Macaca mulatta: one gene and its partner. The protein of the gene in region 2 purifies or fractionates together with the protein of the main gene of each other region. This does not show direct contact. Links are inferred from orthologs where the notes say so. Each region holds a gene or a part of one and is shown on either strand. Other genes may lie near its edges. The genes, in order: CDK12 and CCNK.

The links.
Region 1: the proteins of CCNK (region 2) and CDK12 purify together in Homo sapiens (affinity purification with mass spectrometry; 6 studies listed by BioGRID and IntAct, with this or other methods). This does not show direct contact. The link is inferred for Macaca mulatta from reciprocal best matches to the Homo sapiens genes CCNK and CDK12.

Annotation. Positions count from the first base shown.
Region 1 is NC_133421.1:63,803,067-63,807,663, forward strand, and holds the start of CDK12 (cyclin-dependent kinase 12), read left to right. Parts: upstream 1-1,603; 5' UTR 1,604-1,664; coding exon 1,665-2,710; exon of another isoform or gene 2,711-3,790; intron 3,791-4,597. UniProt on the Homo sapiens protein: Cyclin-dependent kinase that phosphorylates the C-terminal domain (CTD) of the large subunit of RNA polymerase II (POLR2A), thereby acting as a key regulator of transcription elongation.
Region 2 is NC_133412.1:172,803,723-172,808,011, reverse strand, and holds the start of CCNK (cyclin-K), read right to left. Parts: upstream 2,935-4,289; 5' UTR 2,864-2,934; intron 1-2,863. UniProt on the Homo sapiens protein: Regulatory subunit of cyclin-dependent kinases that mediates activation of target kinases.

The DNA of each region.
Region 1 (4,597 bases), on a different chromosome or scaffold from region 2:
AATGTATGTAAAATGCTTGGCACGTAGCACACACCCTATATGTTGGAAGCACTGTTAAAACACTCAGGGACTTGGGTTGAAATGTCCCCACATTTGTCTTTTGCTCTGTAAAAAATAATCTCAGCCGGGTGCAGCGGCTCAAGCCTGTAATCCCAGCACTTTGGGAGGACCAGGTGGGCAGATTGTTTCAGTCTAGGAGTTCAAGACCAAGGATCGCTTGAGTCTAGGAGTTCGAGACTAGCCTGGGCAACATGGCGAAACCCCAGCACTACGAAAAATAGAAACAAATTAGCACGGCGTGGTGGCGCGACTCTATAGTTCCAAGTACTCGGCAGGCTGAGGTGGGAGGATTGCTTGAGCCCCGGAGATGGAGGCTGCAGTGAGCCAAGATCGCGCCACTGCACTCTAGTCTGGGCAACAGAGAGAGACCTTGTTTCAAACAAACAAACAAAACGCCCGGGCGCGGCGGTTCACGCCTGTAATCCTAGTACTTTGGAAGGCCGAGGCGGGAAGATCACTTGAGGTCAGGAGGTAGAGACCAGCCTGGCCAACATGGTGAAACCCTGTCTCTACTAAAAACACAAAAGTTAGCCGGGCATGGTGGCGGGCTCCTGTAATGCCGGCTACTCGGGAGGCTGAGGCAGGAGAATCGCTTGGACCTGGGAGGTAGAGGTTGCAGTGAGCCGAGATCGCGCCACTAACACTCCAGGCTGGGCGACAGAGCGAGACTCCGTCTCAAAAGAAAACAAAAAACAAAGTCATCCTGGTAGTTAAAAGATTTGTTAAAAAGGAAGTTAAAATTAGTTTGTCAGGGAGCCTGGGAGTGTTTGTTTAATCACTTATCGATAAAGTTTTGGTTAAAAAAAAAAAACTCGGTTTGTTCCGTTTCAATAAAGCTTTGTTCAAATGGGGAGAGAGAGTTCATCGCGAGAGTCAGGTGAAACGCGTTTCTAGTTTGGGACCTGATCTCGCGTTGTTTGATGAAGCAGCGGGATGAGGTGAAAGCAAAGCATGAAACATCGCGAGAGGCTACTGGACTTTCGCGACGATTTCTGGGATTGCCCCTCCCCCCTCCTCTAAGTGCCGTTTCGGTTTAATCTAGTGTGTGACTGAGTCTGTGTGAGGGAGAGTGTGTGTGTGGTGTGGAGGTGAAACGGAGGCAAGAAAAGGGGCTCCCTCAGGAACGAGGGACAAAGGGGGCGTGAGGCACCTAGGCCGCGGGATCCCGGCGACAGGAAGCCGCCCTGAGCCGGGCTACCGGGTAGGGGAAGGGCCCGCGTAGTCCTCGCAGGGCCCCAGAGCCGGAGTCGGCCCCACAGCCCCGGGCCGTCGGCTTCTCACTTCCTCGACCTCCCTGGCGCCCGGGCCTGAGGACTGGCTCGGCGCGGGGAGAAAAGGAAACAGACTTGAGCAGCTCCCCGTTGTCTCGCAACTCCACTGCCGAGGAACTCTCATTTCTTCCCTCGCTCCTTCACCCCCCACCTCATGTAGGAGGGTGCTGAGGCGTCGGGAGGGAGGAGGAGTCTGGGCTACGGTCCCTGCCCTCCCCACCCCCTTCCTGGGGCGCTTTGGTGGGCGTGGAGTTGGGGTTGGGGGGGAGGGTGGGGGTTGCTTTTTGGAGTGCTGGGGAACTTTTTTCCCTTCTTCAGGTCAGGGGAAAGGGAATGCCCAATTCAGAGAGACATGGGGGCAAGAAGGACGGGAGTGGAGGAGCTTCTGGAACTTTGCAGCCGTCATCGGGAGGCGGCAGCTCTAACAGCAGAGAGCGTCACCGCTTGGTGTCGAAGCACAAGCGGCATAAGTCCAAACACTCCAAAGACATGGGGTTGGTGACCCCCGAAGCAGCATCCCTGGGCACGGTTATCAAACCTTTGGTGGAGTATGATGATATCAGCTCTGATTCCGACACCTTCTCCGATGACATGGCCTTCAAACTAGACAGAAGGGAGAACGACGAACGTCGTGGATCAGATCGGAGCGACCGCCTGCACAAACATCGTCACCACCAGCACAGGCGTTCCCGGGACTTACTAAAAGCTAAACAGACCGAAAAAGAAAAAAGCCAGGAAGTCTCCAGCAAGTCGGGATCGATGAAGGACCGGATATCGGGAAGTTCAAAGCGTTCGAATGAGGAGACTGATGACTATGGGAAGGCGCAGGTAGCCAAAAGCAGCAGCAAGGAATCCAGGTCATCCAAGCTCCACAAGGAGAAGACCAGGAAAGAACGGGAGCTGAAGTCTGGGCACAAAGACCGGAGTAAAAGTCATCGAAAAAGGGAAACACCCAAAAGTTACAAAACAGTGGACAGCCCCAAACGGAGATCCAGGAGCCCCCACAGGAAGTGGTCTGACAGCTCCAAACAAGATGATAGCCCCTCGGGAGCTTCTTATGGCCAAGATTATGACCTTAGTCCCCCAAGATCTCATACCTCGAGCAATTATGACTCCTACAAGAAAAGTCCTGGAAGTACCTCGAGAAGGCAGTCGATCAGCCCCCCTTACAAAGAGCCTTCGGCCTACCAGTCAAGCACCCGGTCACCGAGCCCCTACAGTAGGCGACAGAGGTCTGTCAGTCCCTATAGCAGGAGACGGTCGTCCAGCTACGAAAGGAGCGGCTCTTACAGCGGGCGATCGCCCAGCCCCTATGGTCGAAGGCGGTCCAGCAGCCCTTTCCTGAGCAAGCGGTCCCTGAGTCGGAGTCCACTCCCCAGGTGAGCTATTTGTCTAACAGTCCTTCCTCATTTAGGGTGGGTTGCGAGGAATTGGCATTCAGCGTGTTAACATTGTGTGGAAGCCTGCAGTGTTCATCATTGATTAGAACACTTTGCTGTTGGCTAGTCGTTGCAGTGTGTGAATCTGTCTCCCCTTAACCCAGAACGAAAAGTGAAGAGTATATAGGCCTCAAACCCCTAAAGGTAGGTACTTCCAGTGGTGGGGTCTTCAGTTGTAAGCTTGTAAGTGAGAAATGTCAAAGGCTTCTGCTTAGTGAGTGGATGGAGTTGATACTAGTTCCCAGAGCATGTTTAGCTGTTTCTGTTGCTTAGTTTAAAATTTTTAAAAATCATATTGGTATTAGTGCTTTAGACTCTATGGGACCTGGTTGAAGACTTAAGAAATTACAAAGTTTCGTTTGTATTAAAGTTACTTGCCTAGGTTATCCTATTTGTGTTGTCCACTGAGTCCCCAAATCTGTACATTTATTCATTTCCTACTTGGCACTGTTTTAATAATTTACAAAAGATTCCTGTCTTTTAACTGATGTTTTAGTGGAAATTCAACTGATTAATCTGTTACCCTTTTGATGGTATAACCTAGCAGAAATTGGTTCCAAGGACAATTTGGTTTTCTTTACAGCATCATCACTGACCTACCTTGTGACCGCTGACAATTTTCAAAATCTTTCTCTAAAACACATGGTAATAATGCCTTCCTTATATTTTGACTCCTTTGTGGCCTCACCTCTGTTCACGAAAACAGAAGGTGGGCTTTAGTTAGAACTTTGTGGAATCCTAATGTTGCTTTTTGACCTTTAGCAAATTAGTTAATTTCTCTGTGCCTGAGTTGCTTCAGGTGTAAAATGGGGCTGGTCTTGAACTCCTGAGCTCAAGCAATCCTCCTGCCTCCAAAAGTGCTGGGATTACAGGCTTGAGCCACCACGCCTGCCTCATACATGGCTTTTGTATTTCAGTGTAATTTTTGCTGACTTAAAGTTACAATTATTCATAAATGATGTGAGTACATCAAGCTGCAGAGTGTTCCTAGCTGTCAGGGGCTGGAATTCTTAATGTTTCCTCCTCCATTTTATTTTTTTATTTTTATTTTTTTTATTTTTATTTTTATTTTTATTTTATTTTATTTATTTTTTTTTTTTTTGAGACGGAGTCTCGCTCTGTCGCCCAGGCTGGAGTGCAGTGGCGCAATCTCGGCTCACTGCAAGCTCCGCCTCCCGGGTTCACGCCATTCTCCTGCCTCAGCCTCCCGAGTAGCTGGGACTACAGGCGCCCGCCCCTGCCCCCGGCTAATTTTTTCTATTTTTAGTAGAGACGGGGTTTCACCGTGGTCTCGATCTCCTGACCTTGTGATCCGCCCACCTCGGCCTCCCAAAGTGCTGGGATTACAGGCGTGAGCCACCACGCCCGGCCTATTTTTATTTTTTTTTTAAACTTTTTTTTTTTTGAGACGGAGTCTCGCTCTGTCACCCAGGCTGGAGTGCAGTGGCCGGATCTCAGCTCACTGCAAGCTCCGCCTCCCGGGTTCACGCCATTCTCCGGCCTCAGCCTCCCAAGTAGCTGGGACTACAGGCGCCCGCCACCTCGCCCGGCTAGTTTTTTTTTTGTATTTCTTAATAGAGACGGGGTTTCACCGTGTTAGCCAGGATGGTCTCGATCTCCTGACCTCGTGATCCGCCCGTCTCGGCCTCCCAAAGTGCTGGGATTACAGGCTTGAGCCACCGCGCCCGGCCCCTCCTCCATTTTATTATAAAAAAATTTTAAGCACAGAAAGGTTGAAAGAATTGTAGTGAACACCCATATATCTAACACCTAGTTTCTACGATAAATATTTGTTATATCCAGCCTAGGCAACATAGTGAGGGCCCC
Region 2 (4,289 bases):
TTTTTGAGACGATCTCACCTAGTAAATTTATATCTGGTTGGTTCTGGCCTATTATTATATTCCAGCCTTTAAGAACTCTTTGATTTCTGAGTGTCATCTAATGTGTGGCTGATTATCACTACATGGTTTGAGTGCATTTATTAACTTGAGAATCATGCTGTTTATATATTTAAAGTTGGTAATAAAAAAGTGTTAATCAGAGGCCGGGTGCGGTGGCTCAAGCCTGTAATCCCAGCACTTTGGGAGGCCGAGACGGGTGGATCACGAGGTCAGGAGATCGAGACCATCCTGGTGAACACAGTGAAACCCCGTCTCTACTAAAACTACAAAAAAAAAAAAAAAAAAACCTAGCCGGGCGAGGTGGCAGGCGCCTGTAGTCCCAGCTACTCGAGAGGCTGAGGCAGGAGAATGGCGTGAACCCGGGAGGCGGAGCTTGCAGTGAGCTGAGATCAGGCCACTGCACTCCAGCCTGGGCGACAGAGCAAGACTCCGTTTCAAAAAAAAAAAAAAAGTGTTAATCAGAGCAAGGGCAACACCAGAGTCCTGTAGCATATCTCCAAAGACAACTCTTCAGGTTTACATCAACCCATTAATCAACATTTTGGGGTTGGTAATTTGCATGGATATCAATCCATCTAACCACACCTTATCCAATGCATATTTAACTCTTGTATCTAGACACAGTATTAGAATCTTGTTGGAAGACTGTGTCCTAAATAAACTTAAACGAACTTACGTCCAGCAATCCCCAATCACCACCAGTCTAGTAACAAAAGGAAATGATTTGTGTCACCTGGCTTTTTCTTGAAACAGGGTCTTGCTCTGTCGCCCAGGCTGGAGTGCAGTCACGTGATCACGACTCACTGCAGCCTTGATCTCTAACTCAAATGATCCTCCTGCCTCAGTCTCCCTAGCTACCACAGGCATGCACCTCCACATCTGGCTAATTTTTTTATTTTTTTTTAGTGATGAGGTCTCACTATGTTGCCCAGGATGGTCTTGAACTCCTGAGCTTCAGTGATCCTCCAGCTTTGGCCTCCCAGAGTACTGGTATTATAAGCGTGAGCCACCACCTCTGGCCTCACCTGGCCTTTTCTTATTGAAGCTCTGTTGGCTTCAGGGAATCAGCTCTCCTTTCCCAAGTACTCATAAACTTGTTGGCTCTTCCAACCAGATTCTAAAAGTTTATTAATAGGTTCCTAGCAGCCAAGGGCCATCGAATGGTTCTGTGTGAAAACTGAGACATTTACCAGACTCTAGTCTTCTATCATTAACTGCACTTTTAGGATTTTTCAAAATTTATGAATAATGATTTTATAAAGTCATCTGCAAATACTCTGGTATACAATTTACCTGAGCTTAAAAATATGATCACTCTGTAATCTCCTCAATTACCTTGAATTTAATTCCTCTAGATTTTTTTGTCCTCATCCAGTTTTAAAGAAAACAAGCAGAAAACACTGTCCTCCCTTTTAGACACTAAGCAGAGTCACTGCTTTCAAATATAACGTCCTAAAATGAACTAGCCCATTTTATAGGCCACGGCTATGACCAATTTTTCTTTATGACATTCAATTTTAGAAACAGCATTTAACATTTAAGAACCTCATTAACAACTCGAATAGTTTTTATTGCTTGTTGGTGCAACCTACATTTTCAAAATGGAACAAATTTAAACAGGATTTGCCTAGAAATCGACTAATATGCTGGAATACTGCATCACAGTATAATCGAAATGAGATACAAGAGGGGGAAAAAACCCTAAAAGACAGCAGTGGTAGTCGCTCTGAATAAAACAATCTCGGATAATTACTATATTCATAGTCAAGATTATTTAACAGGTAAGCATCCTAAGGGCATAACTTTAATCCAGATGTCTATCAATACTATTACCATTACCACCATCTATCCATTCTTTCATTCAGCAATACGGAGGGCTTATTAAACGTCAGGCAGTGTTCCAGGCGCTGAAAGCTCCTCGCTTTCATTCTAGCAACATCATTCATACAAACTTTTAGTGGGCACCTACAATTGCAAGGCATTGTGCTAGATATCTGTAAACAGCGATTTACATCGAGATACACAAACATCACCAAGTTTCCCTTAAAAACATAGACCACCCTTAAGAAATGCTTAGAAGTTCCTAACCTCAGATGACTTAGCAAAAGCTCCGTTTAACTGGCAATCTAAATTTAGCGAGCACTACCGAGCCTATCTTGGGCAGACAATAGTTTAGGAGCTGTCAGATAACCTCTAGATTTACGCTCCAATTTTCTAAAGAACAATTTCTCTCATAACAAACCAAAGCAACCACCAGGAGCGCGTCCGTAAAGACGATGTCTCGGCAACAACTAAATCTAACCGCGGAAGTGCCTTTTCCTCATTCTTAGTCGCACCCTCGTTACGTGGCTCTTCAAAACTCCAAAGTCGGAGTACCCTAGACATGGAACAACCTCCAAAAAGTCTCAGGCCTAGCCAAGGTTGGGACTAATACGCCGCGAAATAATCGGGGAGATATGAGCAGTCTGTGGCTGTGAGACTGCGCGGTTAACACCCCTGCCCCTTTTGTCCAACCCCTAGAAAGTCCCCGAACTCTGACTGCTCCCCAGTGCGAGGGCCGCTACCAGTTCTAGACTGAGCCCGGCCTCCCTGCCCCGCCCCGGCGCCTCAGACCCTCTCTACACGCCCGCCCCACAGCCCCGCGCCGCCCGCTAAGTTCAATGTGTACCGGAGGTTAGCGGAGGGAGGCAGAATCCGGAAAGAGAGACTCCGCCAGTGGATGGCGGCGGTTGACCATAACCTACTCTGACCTCCAGATACGCGGGAGGTGGGCGGTGCTGCCCGCAGTCGGTGGGTCACTCACCTCTCGCTTCAGGCAAGCCCCTTAGCGACGTCTCTCCTTGCGTACTGCGGCCATCTTGCATGTGGAATGTCGGGGAACTACGTCATCACGCTGCGTCTTGAGACGAAAACCAAGCGACCGGAGGGGCGGAGAGAGTAGGATGCCTGTCAACCAATGGGAAGAAAGCAGAGCTCTCAAAAGAGGAACAAGCCGCCGCTCTCCTCCCCGCCCGCCCGCCCGCCCCGCGGGACAGTGGCTGCTGCGTGCAGGGGGAGGAGCCAGTCACAGGGCCCATCCCGTCGGTCCCGCCCCTTGGAGCAAAAAGGCATTCTGGAGCAACCGAACCTGCTAACGGAACTTGGGCGCGTAGGCGGGGCCCGGGTCGAGATTCGTCCAATCAGAGCTCTGGCGGGGGCGAACGCAGCCAATTGCGACTTCGGGGTTGGCGGCCGCTGAGCCGGCCGCTCTCGTCCCCGGGAGCCGCCAGCCCACTGGCTGGGGAGGACCCCGGACGGAACGCCGGCTGGGCGGCGGGGCGGGGCCGCGCCCATGCGTCCGAGGTGTGGACCAATGAGCAGCGGCGGCGGCGGCCCGGGGGCGGGGTCCGGGGCGGGCGGAGCAGGGTTGGGCCGCGGCAGCGGGGCCGTCTCAGGCTGCCGTCCCGCCCCTCCCGTCCGGCCGCCGCCGCCGCCGCCACCGCCGCCACCGCCTGGGGGTTGGTTGAGGCGGACGGCGGGGTCCGGGCCGGAGTGCGTCGTTCCCGCTGCGCTAAGGGAAGCGGGCAGGTGAGTGCTGGCGGCGGTCTCTGCGCGCGCGCGGCCCGCGGGCTGCGGGGAAAACTCGCGCTGCGTCTCCGAGCTCTACGAGGCCGTCCCTCGCCCTGGCCAGCGCCCCTCGGCCGAAGTCCGGCCCGCGCCCCCGCCAGGGTCTCCGCTTGCCGCTCTGGGCCCAGGGCTTGAAGGGGGCAGGTGTGCGCTCGGGTGCCTGGGCGGGGAGGGCCCGGCGGGGTCGGAGGGCTCCGGTCGGCCTCTGCCCGGGCGCCCTGCGGGGCGGGAGGCGCGCTCTCGCCGCTGCCCGGTCCCCTCTGCCGCCCACGCTCCCGGGCCTCGCGCCACCCGGTCTCGAGGTGGTGGCAGGTGCAGGCAGCGCTCTCCCCGCGCTTGGTCTCCTGTCCCCGGCCCTCGCTCCTGCTCTCGGGTGGGGCCCTGGTCCCTCGGGCTGGTCGGCTCGGCTCGGCGCGCGGCCGGGTCGAGCTCTCATTTCCTTCCTTCCTCCCGTCTCCCCGCTGCTCGGGGAAGGCCGTGCGGTTTTATGTTCCTCTCTGCGAGTTCTCGGTGCCCACCGGGGTGCCCGGGGACCAGCCCCCGCCTCCTCCCGCTCGGTCCAGTTAGGAAGACGGTCGTAGGAAATAGGTCGTCTTTCTTCCCACGCGTCCCTGGCCGTGCTC